Linked DNA regions of Macaca fascicularis. The protein of the gene in region 2 binds, or shares a complex with, the protein of the main gene of each other region. Links are inferred from orthologs where the notes say so. Each region holds a gene or a part of one and is shown on either strand. Other genes may lie near its edges.

What was found. Proteins that work in one complex are often made in the same cells at the same time.
Region 1: the proteins of HRAS (region 2) and SOS1 are in contact, whole or in part, in a crystal structure (PDB 4NYM), measured with the Homo sapiens proteins. The link is inferred for Macaca fascicularis from reciprocal best matches to the Homo sapiens genes HRAS and SOS1. Residues at the interface, in NP_001123914.1 of Homo sapiens: Gly13, Gly15, Ser17, Ala18, Thr20, Ile21, Gln25, Asp30, Glu31, Tyr32, Asp33, Pro34, Thr35, Glu37, Tyr40, Arg41, Asp54, Ile55, Leu56, Asp57, Thr58, Ala59, Gly60, Gln61, Glu63, Tyr64, Ser65, Ala66, Met67, Arg68; in NP_005624.2 of Homo sapiens: Glu589, Lys602, Trp809, Thr810, Lys814, Leu822, Met824, Ile825, Arg826, Thr828, Thr829, Thr832, Glu836, Asn869, Leu872, Val875, Ser876, Asn879, Ser880, Ser881, Tyr884, Ser908, Asp910, His911, Tyr912, Lys913, Leu916, Phe929, Phe930, Gly931.
Region 3: the proteins of HRAS (region 2) and RASGRP4 are in contact, whole or in part, in a crystal structure (PDB 6AXG), measured with the Homo sapiens proteins. The link is inferred for Macaca fascicularis from reciprocal best matches to the Homo sapiens genes HRAS and RASGRP4. Residues at the interface, in NP_001123914.1 of Homo sapiens: Glu3, Gly12, Gly13, Gly15, Ser17, Ala18, Ile21, Asp33, Pro34, Thr35, Ile36, Glu37, Tyr40, Arg41, Asp54, Leu56, Asp57, Ala59, Gly60, Gln61, Glu63, Tyr64, Ser65, Ala66, Met67, Arg68, Asp69, Gln70, Arg73, Thr74; in NP_733749.1 of Homo sapiens: Tyr228, Gly232, Val234, Val244, Asn248, Ser251, Asn288, Met291, Ala292, Gly295, Gly296, Cys298, His299, Ser300, Leu327, Ala328, Ser329, His330, Asn331, Asn332, Tyr333, Ala334, Arg337, Leu351, Gly352, Val353, Leu355, Lys356, Val359, Ser360.
Region 4: the proteins of HRAS (region 2) and RASA1 are in contact, whole or in part, in a crystal structure (PDB 8BOS), measured with the Homo sapiens proteins. The link is inferred for Macaca fascicularis from reciprocal best matches to the Homo sapiens genes HRAS and RASA1. Residues at the interface, in NP_001123914.1 of Homo sapiens: Gly12, Gly13, Ser17, Ile21, Gln25, Asp30, Glu31, Tyr32, Asp33, Pro34, Thr35, Ile36, Glu37, Asp38, Ser39, Tyr40, Arg41, Gln61, Glu62, Glu63, Tyr64, Ala66, Met67, Lys88, Lys117; in NP_002881.1 of Homo sapiens: Gly746, Arg749, Glu783, Thr785, Thr786, Arg789, Ala790, Thr791, Glu799, Lys803, Ser833, Arg894, Gly898, Phe901, Leu902, Arg903, Cys906, Pro907, Leu910, Asn911, Met914, Arg928, Ile931, Ala934, Lys935, Gln938, Asn939, Asn942, Val944, Ala948.

What each region holds. Positions count from the first base shown.
Region 1 is NC_088387.1:83,039,040-83,043,234, reverse strand, and holds the start of SOS1 (son of sevenless homolog 1), read right to left. Parts: upstream 2,801-4,195; 5' UTR 2,171-2,800; coding exon 2,084-2,170; intron 1,954-2,083; exon of another isoform or gene 1,830-1,953; intron 1-1,829.
Region 2 is NC_088388.1:433,142-438,082, reverse strand, and holds the start of HRAS (GTPase HRas), read left to right. Parts: upstream 1-1,783; 5' UTR 1,784-2,200; exon of another isoform or gene 2,201-2,216; intron 2,217-3,812; exon of another isoform or gene 3,813-3,957; intron 3,958-4,941. UniProt on the Homo sapiens protein: Involved in the activation of Ras protein signal transduction. Ras proteins bind GDP/GTP and possess intrinsic GTPase activity.
Region 3 is NC_088393.1:45,488,212-45,492,483, forward strand, and holds the start of RASGRP4 (RAS guanyl-releasing protein 4), read right to left. Parts: upstream 2,801-4,272; 5' UTR 2,685-2,800; coding exon 2,662-2,684; intron 1-2,661.
Region 4 is NC_088380.1:91,254,705-91,258,942, forward strand, and holds the start of RASA1 (ras GTPase-activating protein 1), read left to right. Parts: upstream 1-1,438; 5' UTR 1,439-2,005; coding exon 2,006-2,523; intron 2,524-4,238. UniProt on the Homo sapiens protein: Inhibitory regulator of the Ras-cyclic AMP pathway. Stimulates the GTPase of normal but not oncogenic Ras p21; this stimulation may be further increased in the presence of NCK1.

The sequences.
Region 1 (4,195 bases), on a different chromosome or scaffold from region 2:
AGGTAAGAGTAAGAGAACACAAGTTGGATGCATCTACAAATAATTCAATAATAAATCAAAGGAAGAAATCAAGATATGGAGATATCCACATGAAATGTCCAGCAGGCAGGTAAAAACGTAGGTTTTGAGCTACCAACAACATATCCAGATATGAAATATACTGTATTTTCAACCTTGTTTAGAATCATTGTTAGTGGATATTTAAATAAGAATTGGAAGAACCTTACATATCAGCTAGATTATGTACACTTCCACCTCCTCTTATCACTTCTACTGCAAAAATATTTCTAGCTTAAAGTCAAAAGCTGGTTTATGTAAATATGCAAAAAGGACAAGTGGGGGCTGTGGTAAGGTGGAGATACACGACCTGTCTAAAGAAGGCAGCCATTTACTCACCTCCAGCAGTTTAGTGCCTCGCTTGAATACAGACCCTAAATGACAAGACCTTCCTATTCGTCAAGAAAAGCAGAAAATTCAGATTTTATGTAATATCTCCCATTTTCAAATATTAGCAACTAATTACATTTGAAAATAAAACCACACTGTGCCAGCCAAACAAAATGCTTCTGTGGACAGATTCCAGCAAGGGCCACCAGTGTGGCAGAATTAAAACAAGGTCTGTCAACTCCTACAATATTCTTTCCACTACTTCAAAGAATTCTCAGCTGATAGCTTGGTGATTCCCTAAGAAAGCAGCTGTTTTTGCCTCTAAGCAAAATGGCCCCTATTTGGCAATACTTTATGAGTTCCTTTACAGATTTTTAAACAATTTCCCTGTCTTCTCTTACCCTATCCGGACACCAGCTTCTAGCATCACAGAGACGTCCTACACCCATTCCATTGCAAGCTGAGAAGCCAAACTTGCAAGTAAAGCAAAAGTAAGGAGTGAGAGCCTGATGGGATTTCTAAGGAGTAAAGTATGTAAGATACATGGCATCTTTTTGGTTTTCTTTAAAAAAAAAAAAAAAAACACATAGATGTTTGTGACTAGTCAGACACTTGAAGGGGAAAATGTCCGTAACTTAAGTCAGAAATATATGAGCAAATACTCCTGACAAACCAAATAGTTTCCACTGTAAGACAGCAAGAGGGACAGGAGGAGAACAGGGCAAAAGGGAAAGTAAAAGTTACTGGCCTTTGAGAAATATCAGACAGCTTTTAATGTTTAGCATAAAAGGTACAACATTAATCTCCATTCTTAGTAGAAGCAGTTAGCATGAAACATTCTTTAAGCAGCAAGAAACTGGAATTTAGAAACACTATTAGAAGAGTAAAGCAATCTTTACAGAAAAGGTAAATGAAGAAAAGGAAACAAAAATAGTCTGGTAGTCACACTGCTGCTTTAGAAGCTTTAAAAATGTAACAACACTTCCTAATTATACTAAAACATTTAAAAGCACAGATCGGGGGTATGTAACAATGTAGCAAACTTAAACATACAAAGGCTAAAAATTCTTAACCAAATGACAGCACCAAGTTTCTAACGCTGCAAAAACAAAACAAAAAAACCCCGAAATTGGTAGCATGTGCACCGGCCCCTGTTAATCGGAGGAGCGGGGGAAACCAGGAGAATGAGGAGTGATTGCTGATGGCGAACAGAGCAGGCCACGTTACTGCTGGCAGGCGAGCTCGCAATTCCTTTGAGCAAGCACTACGGCCAGGGCATTCTCGAAAAGCCACTAAAACGAGCGTACTGGACACCTAAAACGGCAGGCTGACAGCAGCTCCGCGCTAAGACCGAGAAGGCGGAAAGGTGGCCTGCTTTGACCTCCGCAGAAAACTGAGGCTCCTGCAACTGTTGTCTTGGAATCAAAGGGCAAAGCATTCACCTCTCAGGGGTTGGATTATTCGGATAAACTCCCGCCAGCTCCCTGCGGCCTTCCCACACACCCGGTGGATGTCAACACTGAGAGCCAGCCGTATGGCGAGCCTCTCAGTGTGCGCCGTCCTTCTGGAGACGCGGCGAGACCGGGAAGAAAGACAGCCCTGCGCGCGCCCCGCCTCCCCAGCCCTTCCCCAGCGCCAGCCCGGCGCCCGCGCTGGGGTGCTGCGGCCGGGAAGCGGGGTCCCGCGTGCTCCTCACCTTTTTCAGCGCAGGCACCAGCAGTCCCCGCCACTTGGGCGCGTTCTCTTCGCTGAAAAACTCGTATGGCAGCTGCTGCGCCTGCATGGTGCCCCCGGGGCGCCTCTGGGCGGGGAGAGGGGCGGCGGCGGCCGGGCCGGGGAGCTGCGAGAGGGCGAGATCGCAGCACGGAACAGGGCCGCGGCCCCACCGGACGGCCCGGCCCCCTCCGGGCGCCGCGCAGCCGGGCTAGCCCTGGTGAGGGGGCTGGGGGGCGAGGCCCGCGCCCGGCCACACACCCGACACGGGTACCAACTGTGGAGAACGAACGCGGCCCGGAGGCGGCGGCATCCCGCACCACCGCCCCGGGGCCAGGCCCCCCGCGCCTCCTCCCCGGCCCGCCGGCGCCGCCCGGGGCTGCCCTCTGCCGCGGCCGCCGCCCGCCCGCCCGCCGGGGCTGCACTCTCGGGCCCGGCCTGGCCCCGCGGCGGAGCTGGCGGCTGGGGGAGGACGTGTGGAGGTACGCTCCGGCCGCGGCGCCCGCTCTGCTCAGTTGGTACCCCGAAACGCAGGAGCCCCGGGCGGGGCTGAGCTGGGGCGGGGGTCTCACGGGGAAGGGGAAGGACCCGAGGTCGTTGTTGGGGAATCTGGCTGCCCTGAGGTGCCGCCGCAGCCGCCGCCGCCGCCGCCGGTGTAGCGCTAGAGCTTCCTACTAGCGAACTGAACCTGCTCGCTACTGAGCATGCGCCGCCGGGCTGGGCTGGTTCGCTCCGGGTTTTCCGGCTCCCGGTGAAGGAGGAGGGAAGCTCGAGAGAGAGAGAGGGAGGGCGCCTGGCCAGGCTGTTGCTGCGCTCCTGGGGGCTGCAGGGGAGGGGCGAAAGGACCCGAGAAGTCGAACCCTGGCAAAGTGGAGCCTGCAGGGGTGGGTGATAACTAGGGTAAAGAGGCTCCCCATTGTGTGGTCTGGCCGTGAGGGCTCCCACCCCTCTCGGAATCCCTGGGCCCTTCGTTTCGGAAAGGGGTGTGTGTACTTTGTTCCTGAACACGAAGATAAGGACTGCCCAGAGCACGCAATGTATAGTAAACAGACTGGACAAAAGATACAGGTGCTCTGTCACGAAACCTACTGCTCAGTATCTGCTGAGTAGTAGAAGTGATTGCAGTGTTTCTAACTGGTCTTTCCACAAAACCAAGAATAAAATGTGTACGTGTAGTATTGATTTTGTGTGTATGTTTTAGATTCCCTCTGTTCATCTTTTAAACCCACTCCAGATATGAACTCCAATAAACACTTTCCTCCAGTGGATATCGAGACCTCTTCTACAGCTCCTAGAGCACTGCACTTACGCCCTTCTCAGGGCGTTCAGTCTATCGTGTTTTGTATCTTTTGAGGTTCTTTCGACTAGATAATATACTGGAAGGCCGATCTTTTTCACCAGGGCCTCTACACAGAACAGGCACTCAGTGAATATTAGTGGAATGCTAAAGGAGCAGTATTTATAAACTGTCCCTCCAGGCCACTGTTTGTTTATAATAGGGGCACTTTGTGGCAGACACCTTATGATTTATCATTAATTATCACTTTTTGAGTATCATCTCATTTAATCCCCATAGCAACCCTATTATTTTCATTTCACCGATAAGGCAGTTTAGAGGAACTAGCCTGGGTTAAAGCTGACATTGTGTCCTCCTATTCCTGAGAACAGTAACCAGATCAGGCAAACGAGAAAGGTTCAGTGGTTCTTAATCTTTACAGGACCTCTTTGAAAATCTGGAAAAAACTCTTAGGTTATTTCCTTTAAAAATATACAGGCCGGCCAGGCGAGGTGGCTCATGCCTGTAGCACTTTAGGAGGCTGAGGCAAGTGGATCACCTGAGGTCAGGAGTTCGAGACCAGCCTGGCCAACATTGTGAAAACCTGTCTCTACTAAAAATACAAAAATTAGCAAGGCATGGTGGTGGGTGCCTGTAATCCCAGCTACTCGGGAGGCTGAGGCAGGAGAATCGCTTGAACCCGCGAGGCAGAGGTTGCAGTGAGCCGAGATCGTGCCACTGCACTCCAGCCTGGGCGACAAGAGCAAAACTCCGTCTCAATTAAAAAAAAAAAATATATATATATATATATATACACAC
Region 2 (4,941 bases):
CAGACATCTGCCTCGGCCGCAGACCCTGGAATCACGAGCTCCAGGGGTGCAGTGAGAAATGTGCTTGGAGCATCCAGCATCCTCCTCCCTGACCACCTTCCTCTGTTCCGTCTGGACCTGGACTGACTCCTTGAGAGCACTCCTCACCCAGCCTCTCCCCACCCAGCCTTCCCAGATTTATCTTCCTGATGAGACAAATTCTCTTTGGAGCCCTGTGTGTCTTACTATGTGTTCGGTTGAGGGCCTGCCTCGCCCCAGCGCTGTGGGCTGCACGTGGCCTGCACGTGGCCTGGGTGCTCCTCTGCTATCCACAGCCGCAGGAGACGACGCTCAAATATTTGTGGAAGGAATCCGTGAACAGGCAGATGCACATGTAGCCACTTAGAACTTTCTGGCCGTGGCTTTCATCTGTTGACCACATATGGACATTGAAGATGTATCCTCTCCATCCTGTCTACAGCTGCCCCTGCGCCAGGCGAGTTGGCCGGCCGTTGACAGAGGTGGTGGGCGGGAGTGTTGGAGCAGGGCCGCGGCTCAGGCTCCGGGTGCCTCAGTGGCCTGGTCTGGAAGGTGACCATGCACCAAGAATCAAAGAAGATAAGCTCAAAATAGAGTCTCATGGAGTTTCCAGCCAGAATCTCCCCCACTGCCTGCCTTTCTCCAGATGGTGGAAGGCCCCAGGCCTCACAGCAGGACCCCACCACTGCGTTCCCCCAAAGACTCTGGCCACCTCCATCCCAGGCCTGCCAGTCTTGAGCCTCATGGAGTACGTGAGCTGGCCGGGTCATGCGCAGCCCCAGGACATCTATGGGTGGCACTAAGGGCTGAGTCAGCCACCCTTGTCTCCTCTGTGCCCAAGAGCCCGAGTATCAGGCTGGTCTGAGCCCCAAGGCCTAGGGGTGCAAGGACCAGGGGTTGGAGGCTGTGGAGTCCCAAGCCCCCACTGGACTCCCACCTCAGACACTGCTCCTGGTGTTCTCGCCCAGGCCTGAACCCATCCGCACACTTCGCAGTCCTGCTCCTACCCTGTGTCCCCTCTGCGAGCCCCCATGCTCCCCAAATTGGAAACTGGAGGAATTCTGTCTCCACACCCCAGCTAGTGCCATTCCCTGGTGGGTAGCTCATCACCTCTGGTCCCCTGCAGCCCTTGCCCCTTCACCATGGACGCTGGGAGGGCAGAGCCCGCTCCCCTGCTGAGCCCCACCCTGGAACTCCAAGCACCCTGGGTCCTTGCCTCTGCATCTCCCTCAGGGGCAAGGCTTGGGGCCCCTCCTGCCTCCTGACAGGGAGCCCCTTCAGTGCAGGGCCAGGGGGTGGTGGAGGCAAGGGTCCCCAGGGGACCAGATCTGACGTGCGGGGCCTCCACTGGGTCCCCGTTGGCTGTGCTGCTTAGTCCCCGCGCCCTCGCCTCGGCGCAGGCTCCCTCCTGCCACCAGGCATACGGCGAGGCCTGTGGCTCCCACCCCAAGGGTGCGCTCGGCTCTCACCTGAGGGCTCAGCCCAGGTGTCCGGCCCTGGCAGCTCGGCCCTGGGCGCCCTCCGCCGCCAGGCGCTGTCTCCTACTCCAGGCTGTTCTTCCGGCTGCGGGGTTGCGGCCTGGGTCCCATGGCAACGTGGGCGGGTCCTCATTTGAATACGCAAATATTTATAAGCCGCAGGAGGCTCGGGTTCTGAGGGGCTGAGCCACGCCCCTTAGCAACGGTCGCTAGGGCGGGGCCACGTGAGTTGGCACTTGGGTGGGCGATCCCGGGGGAGGTGACGCGCCACCAAGTCGGGTGGGCGCAGGCGCGTCAGGTGCCAGCTCCCTGCGGCTCCGTGCCCGGGCCGTCGCGGTGCACGTGTCGCGTTTCCTCGCGATCCCGGCGCTTCCCACGCGGGGCCGGCAAGGGCGGTCTCTGCTGGAGGCTCCCGCCCACCTTTCCCACGTGGAAGGGTCGCCCCTGGGGTCGAGGCCTGACGCCCTGACCTTCGATTGGAAGTGAGGCCGACAGCAAAAGGAAGCACCGGGGCAAGCGCCCCGGAGGACCAGGAAACACAGACCGGATGCCGAAGCGCGCCCGAGTGCCCGGCCCGTGGGACACGCCGCCGCCCGCCGTTCAGTCGCCGCCTCTCACCTGCGTTCATGCGCGTCCGCCCCGAGCCGGGCTCTGACTGCGACCGCGCGGTGGATGGACGGCAGGCGGGACCCCCGGGACCGCACGTGGGTGGAGCCCCGGGTCAGCGGCGACCGGCGCAGGAGGGCGTGGCGGCGGGGCGGGCACTGGGTTGGGCAGAGGCAGGGTTTGCCTGACCGTAAAACGCCTTTTTTTCTTTTAAACGCCTTTTTTTTGAGACGAAGTTGCGCTCTGTCACCCAGGCCGGAGTGCAGTGGCGCGATCTCGGCTCACCGCAACATTCGCCACCCGGGTTCCAGCGATTCTCCTGCCTCAGCCTCCTGAGTAGTTGGGCCTACAGGCTCGCGCCACTGCAGCCGACTAATTTTTTGCATTTTTAGTAGAGACGGGATTTCATCATGTTGGCCAGGCCGGTCTTGAACTCCTGACCTCAAGTAATCCACCGGCCTAGGCCTCCCAAAGTGCTGGGATTATAGGCGTGAGCCACCGCGGCCGGCCCCTTTTGCTTTTTTTTTTTTTTTTTTTTTTTTTTTTTTAGACGGAGTCTCGCTCTGCCACCCAGGCTGGAGTGCAGTGGCCGGATCTCAGCTCACTGCAAGCTCCGCCTCCCGGGTTCACGCCATTCTCCTGCCTCAGCCTCCCAAGTAGCTGGGACTACAGGCGCCCGCCACCTCGCCCGGCTAGTTTTTTGTATTTTTTAGTAGAGACGGGGTTTCACCGTGTCAGCCAGGATGGCCCTTTTGCTTTTTAATGAGAATGTATTTCTGATTCCTTTGCAATTTAAAAAAATGTTAAAAAAAAAAAAAAAAACACGTCTTTTGGGGTTTGAAAGAGCTAGGATGTGGTCTTTGTGCTTGGGGTGAGCCCTGGGCACTTCGCTCTCCTGTGGCAACCTGTAGGTACCGTTTAACTGCACCACGCTGAGCTTCTGCATGGTTGGAACCTCAAGTCTGGGGGGACTGAGCGGGCAGGGTCGCCTGCCACGCAGGCCCAAGTAAGAGAAGTGGTGGAGGGGGCGTTCTCACGCCTGGCCCCAGGGAGCACGGCTGCGCCCGCCGCTCGAAACCCCACCGGAGCTGCAAGGCGTCCTCGGGGTGGGCTGAGGTGGGAGTAGGGGAGCTGGGGTGCGTGTGGTAGGTGGGGTGCGCGGAGGAGGCGGGGTGCGCACCGTCCGGGTGCGGGGCCACTCCACCTGCGCGGAAGGGGAGCCGGGCAACCGGACCCCGCGGCCACCCGGGGGCCCCCAGCTCCGAGCGGCCCGCCTTGGTCCCGACGGATCCCAGCCTTTCCTCAGCCGGAGCCCCGGGACCTCCGCGGTGGGCGACGCCGCGCTGCGGACGCAGGGAGGGCCTCGAGTGCACGGGCGCCGCTGAGTCGGGTTCTCTCGCCGGCCTGTTCCCGGGAGAGTCCACGGCCCTGCTCGGATATGCCGCCGCAGGCCCCCAGACACCTGCTCCCTCGCCCTCCTTGAGCAACCCCGAGCTTGCCTCCGCTCGCCGGCCTAGCCCAACCCCCCGAGGCCGCGGCCCTTCTGGCTCCGCCTCCCGCGTTGCTCCCGGAAGCCCTGCCCGACCGCGGCTCCTGACAGACGGGCCGCTCAGCCAACCGGGGCGGGGCGGGGCCTGGTGTAGCGAGGCCAATGGTAGGTCGCGCAGGGCTGACGGACGGGCGCGGGGTGGGGCGTGCGCGAGCCCGGCCGAGTCTCCGCCGCCCGCTCCCTGCGCCTGCAGCCCCAGCCGCACCCGCCGCGGACGGAGCCCATGCGCGGGGAGAACCGCGCGCCCCCGCCCCCGCCCCCCCCTGGCCTCGGCCCCGGCCCCGGGGGCAGTCGCGCCACTGAGCGGTGAGTGCGGGCCGGGGTCGGCCGGGCCGCGCGCCCTCCCCGCCCCCAGGCGGCAGCCATACGCGCGGCGCGGGCCGGGGGCGCGGGACCGGCGGGCGTGAGCGGCTGCGGCGGCGGTAGTGGGTGGGTGGGGCCGGGCCGGGCCGGGCGGGGCCCCCAGGCACAGGTGAGCGGGCGTCGGGGGCTGCGGCTGGCGGGGGCGGGCTGAGGCCCCTTAGTCCCTGGGGCCTGCGGGAATCCGGGCCCCGCCCGTGGCCTCGCTCTGGGCACGGTCCTCACGCCGGCGTCCCCGGGAGCCTCGGGCCCGGCGCCCTCATAACCAGGCGCGTCTGGGCGGAGGCGGCCGCGGCCACGGCACGCCCGGGCACCCCCGATTCAGCATCACAGGTCGCGGACGAGGCCGGGGGCCTCAGCCCCAGGGCCCTTCCCCTCTCCGGGTCTCCCGCGCCGCCTCTCGGCCCCTTCCTGTGGCTCAGCCCCTGCTTCCCAGGAGCCCCTCTGTCTTTTCCAGCTTTCTGTGGCTGAAAGATGCCCCCGGTTCCCCGCCGGGGGCGCGGGGCGCTGCCCGGGTCTGCCCTCCCCTCAGCGGCGCCTAGCACGCAGTAGGCGCTCAGCAAATACTTGTCGGAGGCACCAGCGCCACGGGGCCTGCAGGCTGGCACTGGCCTGCCCGGGCACGCCGTGGCGCGCTCCGCCGTGGCCAGACCTGTTTAGGAGGACGGTAACCTCAGCCCTCGGGCGCCTCCCTTTAGTCTTTCTGCCGACCCAGCAGCTTCTAATTTGGTTGAGAGCGCTCAGCTGTCAGCCCTGCCTTTGGAGGCTGGCTCCCTTTTCCCCTCACTGGGTCCTTAACAGCAAGTGGGGGCGAGGCGACAGCCCTCCCCCGCGCTGGTTTGCAGCTGCACAGGTAGGCACGCTGCAGTCCTTGCTGCCTGGCGTTGGGACCCAGGGCCCGCTATGGGTTTGCTCTTCAGATGGCTCTGC
Region 3 (4,272 bases), on a different chromosome or scaffold from region 2:
GGAAACCCCAGGATTTCATCTCTGCCCTTCTCCCACCCCTTCACCCCACTAAGGTAACAGACCCCTCTCTGAAGTTAGCCTTCCGGCAGGACCTACAGTTTAGCCTTCAGTCTGGGTCCTTAGATTTGGGACTGGAGAGGAAATACCAGTGCTAAATGGTCTTCTCTGGGGCTCCTCAGAGTTAGGTGAGAGGTTCCTGGGGCTGAGGCAGCTTCAAGGAAGGTGGGAAAATAATCCTCTCATCACAACGTCATGAGTTCGAGACCAGCTTGACCAACATGGTGAAACCCCGTCTCTACTAAAAATACAAAAATTAGCTGGGCATGGTGGTGCACACCTGTAATCCCAGCTACTCAGGAGGCTGAGGCAGAAGAATCGCTTGAACCCAGGAGGCAGAGGTTGCAGTGAGCCGAGATTGCGCCACTGCACTCCAGCCTGGGCAACAGAGCAAGTCTTCGTCTCCAAAATAATAATAATAATAATAACAATAATAGTAATAATAATTCTTCCTCTGCCTGGTGCCTCCCAGAGGCTGCTGTTCCTGATGGGGAAAGAGGGTAATGGAGAGACAGGGATGGTGGGAGGAGGGAGGGAGCTGAATCCATGTTTCAAACGAAAGTAGAATCCAGAAATTTCTGCCAGCTGTTGTGACTTCGTGTTAGTTACTTAATTTCTCTGGGGCTGTTTCCTCAAAGGAAAAATGAAGATAGTCCTTGGACCTTCCCCAAGGATTTTTTTTTTTTTCTTTTTTTGGAGACAGGGTCTCACTCTGTCACCCAGGCTGGAGTGCAGTGGTGCAATCTCAGCTCACTGCAACCTCCACCTTCCGAGTTCAAGCAATTCTCCTGCCTCAGCCTCCCAATTAGTTGGGCTACAGGCACCTGCCACCAAGCCCAGCTAATTTTTGTATTTTTAGTAGAAATGGAGTTTCACCGTGTTGGCCAGGCTGGTTTCGAACTCCTGGGCCCAACTGATCCTCCCACCTTTGCCTCCTAAAGTGCTGGGATTATAGGTGTGAGCCATCACGCCAGGCCCCTACCTCTACCCTTTTTTAGACAGGATCTTGCTCTGTCTCTCAGGCTGGAGTGCAATGGTGCAATCAAAGCTCACTGTAACCTTGAACTCCTGGACTCGAGTGATCCTCCTGCCTTAGTCTCCCAGCTAGCTGGGACTACAGGTGTGCACAACCGTACCCAGCTAATTTTGTGTGTGTGTGTGTGTGTCGATGGGGGTCTCACTATATTGCCCAGGCTGGTCTAGAACTTCTGGCCTCAAGTTCTCCTTGCCTTATCCTCCCAAAGTTCTGGGATTAGAGGCATGAGCCACTGTTACTAGAAGGGACATTTTAAAGTATTAAATATGTCCTAGGCCGAGGAGGGAGCATTGTAACTAAATCAGCGTTTCCCTAAGTGTGGGCACCCAGCTAGTACAAAAGCATCACCTGGGAACTGGATATAAATACAGATTCTCAGGTCCCAACCGACACCTACAAAATCAAACATTTTAAGGCTGGGGGCAGTGGCTCATGCCTCTCTAATCCCAGCACTTTGGGAGGCCGAGGTGGGCGGATCACGAGGTCAAGAGATCGAGACCATCTTGCCCAGCATGGTGAAACCCCATCTCTACTAAAAATACAAAAAAGTAGCCGGGTGTGGTGGCATGCACCGGTAATCCCAGCTATTTGGGAGGCTGAGGCAGGAGGATCGCTTGAACCCAGGAGGCAGAGGTTGCAGTGAGCCGAGATTGTGCCACCGCACTCCAGCCTGGAGACAGAGCGAGACTCCGTCTCAAAAAAAAAAAAAGAAAGAAAAAAATAATAAGGGTAAGCCCAGCAACCTGTATTTTAAAAGCCCTCCAGACAGTTCTGAGGCACGCTCCAGTTTGAGAACCACTGGTCTAGAGTGTCTCATTGAGTACTTACAGGCCTCTCCGAGGTGGAGGCTATGATTATTCTATTGACAGAAGAAAAACCCAAGACACAGAGCAGTTAAGTGACTTACCTAAGGTCAGCCAGGAGTCTACCACTAAATTGCTGGGTGGGGAGGAAAGCCCTTTGCCCATCAGAGTGATTCTGGGGATGGCAGGAGGAGCTACCCAGGCTAGGGAGACACCCACCCTATCTGCCTCTGTGGGGACAGAAGGGCCAGCTTGCCCAGGAGATAGAAGCCCATTCTAGAACCAGCCACACAGCCAGCCACTAGGCCCTGTCCTGCAGCCCCCTGTAGGGCTCTGGAACAGCCAGAAGTGGTTTAAGAGGCAGGGGAGCCACTTTGCCCTGTGTCACACTCCCAGGCCTCTCCTGGGCCAGGGCCCTGCAGGAGCTTGGAGTTTCCAGTCCAAGGGGATGGGGAACCAGGAAGCCCCCAGGGAGGGCAGAGACACTCAGCCCAGGCCAGGGATGGAGGTGTGGTGACAAGAAGTGGGAAAGGGGCAAAGAGCAGCTCAAACTCCAGGGACAACATGGTACAGATGCCACATCCAAGCCACTGCCGCCCTAGCTGGCTCCAGACTCCCTGAACCCTGAAGCATCCACCTGGCCCCCCTGCACCCGGTCCCGAAGAAGCCAGGCATCCTGCCACCCTGGCGAGTGATCTCCCCAGCCCTCCCATGCAGAGGGAGGCCTCAGGGTGCTGCCGGGCTCCCTGGGGAGGGTCCTCTCACCTCTTGCTGTCTTTTCTGTTCATGTTTCCGGTGGGGGGGGGAGGAGGGCGGGGGTCTTGCAAGAGTATGGCTCGGCTCCTCCCCTTCCCCAGGACTCCAGCTTCTCAGCCCCTAGGGAGCTGGGGCCTCCTCGGTGCTTGGGAAGGAAAGAGGAACTGCCCCTCCCCACCCACCCTCAGGCCAGGGGGAAGGAAGAGGCTGGGGAGAGACCAAAGGCCCCCCTCCCCCACACGGGGATCCCTTCTGCTGAGGTTTCCGGCACTGCTGGCTCTCCCACCCTCAAGAGCCCCGGCGGGCTCTCTATCTCCCTCATCTTTCGGTCTCAAGACCCGTCACTGTCATACTTCAATAAAAGCAGGGGTTTTTCTTTTCAAAGCATGACTGATATTTATGTAAAAACACACACACACTCAAAAAGATAAGTCTGTCTTTCTAGAAGGACATACTGATATATATAATTCACGAAGGTTTGAATGGAAACTCACAAGACATAGTATTTTATATATTTCTTCATAGGCTTCTCTTATTCCTAGTTTAAGTGATACCATTTGTACCCTGGAAAACATTTTCACTTTCTGACTTTATTGTAACAAACCTCCACATAGCACCTACTGTGTACCACACACTGCTCTAAGGACTTTAAAAATACTAACTCATTTAATCCTCACACAATCCACTGTTACCTTAAAAGAACATTACATACTGGGCCAGGCACGGGGGCTCACGCCTGTCATCCAGCACTTTGGGAGGCCAAGGCAGGCGGATCGCTTGAGTCCAGGAGTTTGAGACCAGCCTGAACAACACGACAAAACCCCGTCTCTAAAAAAATGTAAAAAGTTAGGCTGGCGTGGTGGCTCACTCCTGTAATCCCAGCACTTTAGAAGGCTGAGGTGGCGGATCACCTGAGGTCGGGAGTTTGAGACCAACATAGAGAAACCCCGTCTCTACTAAAAATACAAAATTAGCCCAGCGTGGTGGCACATGCCTGTAATCCCAGCTACTTGGGAGGCTGAGGCAGGAGAATTGCTTGAACCCAGGAGGCGGAGGTTGAGGTGAGTCGAGATCGCACCATTACACTCCAGCCTGGGCAACGGGAGCAAAACTCTGTCTCAAACAAAAAAGAAAAAAAAAAGCTAGCTGAGCATAGTGGTGCATACCTGTAGTCCCAGGTACTCAGGAGGCTGAGGCAAGAGGATTGCTTGAGCCCAAGGAGGTGGAGGCTGCAGTGAGCCCTGATGGTGCCACTGCACGTCAGTCCTATCTCAAAAAACAAAAAACAGAACAAAACAAAAAAAACCCACACACACATCAAAAACCATCAAAGATGGAGGTAAAGCCTTTGGGAAGCCCCTCCCCATCCCCTGTCTTTCTTAAGCAGGGTGTGACCAATATGACATGTTGTCGAGTTTCGTCCAAACTGCTGTCTGTGCGTTTAAGCACATTGTATAAACATGTGCTCCTAGAAACAGACTTTTCTTTTGAGTGTGCATTTTTTTCTTTTTACCTAAATGTGTCATGCTCGACCTTTTTTTTTTTTTAAATCGAAGTACAAAAAGATCACCAATCATTAAGTATTTAGGTTGATGAAATGTCACCAACTGAGCAAACCTG
Region 4 (4,238 bases), on a different chromosome or scaffold from region 2:
CATTACTGAATTCCTAGGATATTGCTGGCCTTAATTCACTCGAGAACTCTAGCTCCTGTGACTGGTTCATCTTCCTTCTCCCAAGTAGCACATTGCCTAAGACATAAGCATAATGGAGGTCCCAGGACTACTCCTAATCAAGTTGGATCGTTGTCATCGACTAGGTAAATAGGCCTACGCAAATTTACAAAGAAAATGCATTGCCTGTATCTTGCCACCTCTTTTAGTGGTCTTTTCTCTTGTTCCTTTGTTTCTATCACAACCACTTGCCATCCGGAGTGTTGGCTTGATCATCCTTAGCAGAGAAAATACTGATCTCAAAGATCAATATCCAATGGTATTCAACGTGGGATTACTACTGGGAGAATTTAAAATAACAATACCGTTAATTTCAAACCATGAGAAGCTCCCTGTACATGAATGCATGTAATAGTTTGTATACATTTTAGTGTAGAAGACAAAATAACACTCTTCTCCTTAATTGTATTAAAAATGAGTTTTCAGTTTATTGCTACTTTAGAAACGATATATAATTGTAACTGGCATTCTGGGACATTCTTGACATTTGACTTGTTGAAGGTGCTTGCATTGCGGATCACACCCTGCAGTCTTTTGCACACAGAGGACAAAAGTGCATTGATTAGTGTTTTCTGTGGCACCCCCTCCTCTTCATCAGTATCCAACAGACTTATAATAGCATAGGTAAGTATATGAGACAGTTGATAAAGAAAAACCTATGCAAATACTAGTAGAAATCTTACTTCATAACCACTATTTCTACCAAAATTCCCCACCCTTCTCATATGGTGCCCTTTATTTCGTTTCGGAGTTTCAGAATCTATTTTATCTGTGTGTGTGTGAGATAGTCATGGTGATTTATAGCATGCAACGAAAAAGACAACATTTAGTACTGCCCCGATCTTCAAAGCTACCTGACTCCTGCATGGTCTCTGCGCTGCTGGCTAAGGCTGTTTCTTCCACCGGTCAGGAAGTACGGAACTAGTTTCTAGGCATTTTCCTTTCCCTTTCCCCCTTCTTCCTCTCCGCCGCCTCCCGGTCCCCCTCTCGTCTCTCCGGCTTTCACAGCGCCGAGCACCCGCGTGCTCAGGTACCCTTCCCTCTTCTCCCGCCCATCAAACAAAGCCCCGGGAGACAGGCGCGCGCCGCCGGCCACGCCAACAGGAGATGCGGCCGCGCCGCCGCACGCTAGGAACCGGAGTAGGACAGCAAGCGCGACCACGCACCGCGCGTCCCCGCCGCTTCCTTCCCTCTGGACTCTTCCTTTTCCTCCAGGCCCGGCCCCCCGCCCCCCGCCCCCCGCCCCCCGCTCCCCGCTCCGGGAACGCGCCTGCGCACAAGCTGCCCTCTCCCTCCTCCGCCCTTCCTTCCCTCCGTCCCTCCTCCCCTGCCCCGCCTTCCTTTCTCTCTCTACGGTTTCAGTCACTGAGAGCTCCAGGTAGTGAGCAGTTCAGTCGATTTCCTTGTTACCCCGCCCCCCTTTCTCTTGTCCCCACCCCTCTCATCTGCCTGGTGGAGGATGAAGCGGCTGCAGTGGCCCCAGCCTCAGCAGCGGCACCGGCGGTGGCTGCGGTGTGGGTGGCCGGAACTGGGGTGGTGAAGAAGCGGTGGTGGCTGCTGAAGGAGCGATAGCCACCTAAGCCTCTTTCCCTGTGCTTCCTTTCCTCTTTAGTGCAGCCAGGAAGTTTTCGCTTCTGTACATGTGTTTGTGTGCGTGAGTGTGGGTGTGTGCCGTGAGGTTTGGGTGGCGTTTGTGCAGGCGTTGGGTTTTTTGCCCACTTCGCTTCCCGTAACCCAAGCAGCTCCGGAGCCTGGGCTGTGGCCCTAGGAGGGGGCGCGGCGGCGGGCTCTCTCCTTTTGTTGTTGTTTCCTCCGCCTGGGGAGCTGAAGGGGAGACGCGTCTGGGTGGGGCGGCTCGGAGCCCGGGCCTGGTGGCCCCCGGGGCTCCCGGGCGGGCAGGGTAGGGCAGAGTAGAGCGGGCTTCAACATGATGGCGGCCGAGGCCGGCAGTGAGGAGGGCGGCCCGGTAACAGCCGGAGCTGGAGGAGGCGGCGCGGCAGCGGGCTCCAGTGCCTATCCCGCAGTGTGTCGGGTGAAGATACCCGCGGCCCTGCCTGTGGCAGCCGCCCCCTATCCTGGGCTGGTGGAGACTGGAGTGGCTGGAACTCTGGGTGGCGGAGCCGCTTTGGGGTCAGGGTTCCTAGGAGCCGGGTCTATGACAGGGGCATTGGGGGGAGCCGGACTGACAGGGGGAGGTACTGCTGCTGGCGTGGCCGGTGCTGCTGTCGCTGGACCTAGTGGAGACATGGCTCTCACCAAGCTGCCCACTTCGTTGCCTGCTGAGACTCTCGGGCCAGGCGGCGGTTTTCCCCCTCTGCCCCCTCCCCCTTACCTGCCCCCTTTGGGGGCGGGCCTGGGGACAGTGGACGAAGGTGACTCTCTGGATGGACCAGAATACGAGGAGGAAGAGGTGGCCATACCATTGACCGCTCCTCCAACTAACCAGTAAGTTAAGACTGCTGTTCAGGAATTTGGGCAGCTGGCTCCAGAAAAGAAGTGGAAATGGGGTAAACCATACTTTGTCTTTTTCATCTGTGATTTGTTTAGGAAAAGTTTTTGAAGTTTCAGGTTTCTTGCGTAGGAATTTAATTTGATCACTTATCTTCCTTACAGGCATACTACCTGGCGTCTTCCTACATTTATTGCTCTTCTGGGAAGGTGTAAAGTTTTTAAGATGGAAAGTATGAGAAAATGTGTATCTGATGAGAACCGGATATGGTTCTGTCCCTTCCAAGTTGAAGTGGTGTCCCAGGATTTAGTCAAACTGCGGCTACCAAGGCAGTCATAGTGTATATTAACCTGTTTGTGTTACTTGATAAAGCTAGATGATTAGTGAGAAATTTTGAATACAAATATTTAAACGAGTATTGTATTAGTAATTTGAAAAATGTATTGGTTAGAATGTATTTATTTCAGTGCACATCCCAGCTTCTGATTAGAGAAAGCATAGTGATGTTTAGAAGAGTCTGTGGGTCACTTAATGAGAACTTGGGTCAGAGAGAAAGGAAAGGAATACTGTGAATTATAGGTGTGATTAAGCGCCTTTGTTTCAACAATGTATCTTCTTCCCTAGGCTTCCCACTTAGCTTTTATAGTCGAGACATTGGAAGTACAACAGTGAGACAAAACAAAATTAACAGAGCTTCCCTTAAACATTTTTTGTTGGTGGCCAGTATAGTATTCTATTTGAAAATTAAGTAGAATATACAGGACAATGACTTTTTTTTTAATGTAAGTTAATACCTCCTCACTTGTCTTAATTGAACTTAGGTGTTTATTCATAAAGGTGGACCTTGATGAAAATGTTGCGATGGGAAGTGGTATTAGGCAAAACTTGTTATAGGTTTCTCGTATAACTCTTAATTGACCCTTAGAATTTTAACAACCTTGGTGAATATCAGGAAAGAAAGATTTGGTTCATATGTTGACAGTCATTCTGGACAATTCAGAGGTTTTTTTTTTTTTCCTCTCTCCATTGCCCCCAAGAGATGGAGTCTAGCTCTGTTGCCCAGGCTGCAGTGTAGTGGCATGGTCTTGGCTCACTGCAACCTCTGCCTCCCGGGTTCAAGAGATTCTCCTGCCTCAGCCTCGCTAGTAGCTGGGATTACAGGTGCATGCCACCATGCCTGGCTAATTTTTGTATTTTTCATAGAGACGAAGTTTCGCCATATGGCCAAACTGGTATCTTAACTCCTGACCTCAGGTGGTCGGCTTGGCCTCAGCCTCCCGAACTGCCGGGATTACAGGTGTGAGCCACTGTGCCCGGCCTTTTTTTTTTTGGATAAGCTTCTTTGGAGCATTTAGAAAGGACTGAAACTAGGAAAAGATTCTGTTACCCTCATCTATTTTTGACTTAAGGCTACATCTTTTGATACTTAAAGTGGAAAAGTAAAGTTAGTCATATTTATGCCAGCCATGTTATAGGGATGTAGTGTTCCACCTTTTATATTCCTCAATAAAGGGTTCAAGTCTTGCGTCAGAGTTTTGTTCAAATTTTACACGACAATTTATTTCATGTCATTGTAATGCAGAGTCCCTGGGAGTGTTCAGGGAGTGTTAAAAATTCCAATTTTGCCGGTCGCGGTGGCTCACGCCTGTAATCCCAGCACTTCGGGAGGCCTAGGCAGGTGGATCACCCGAAGTCGGGAGTTTGAGACCAG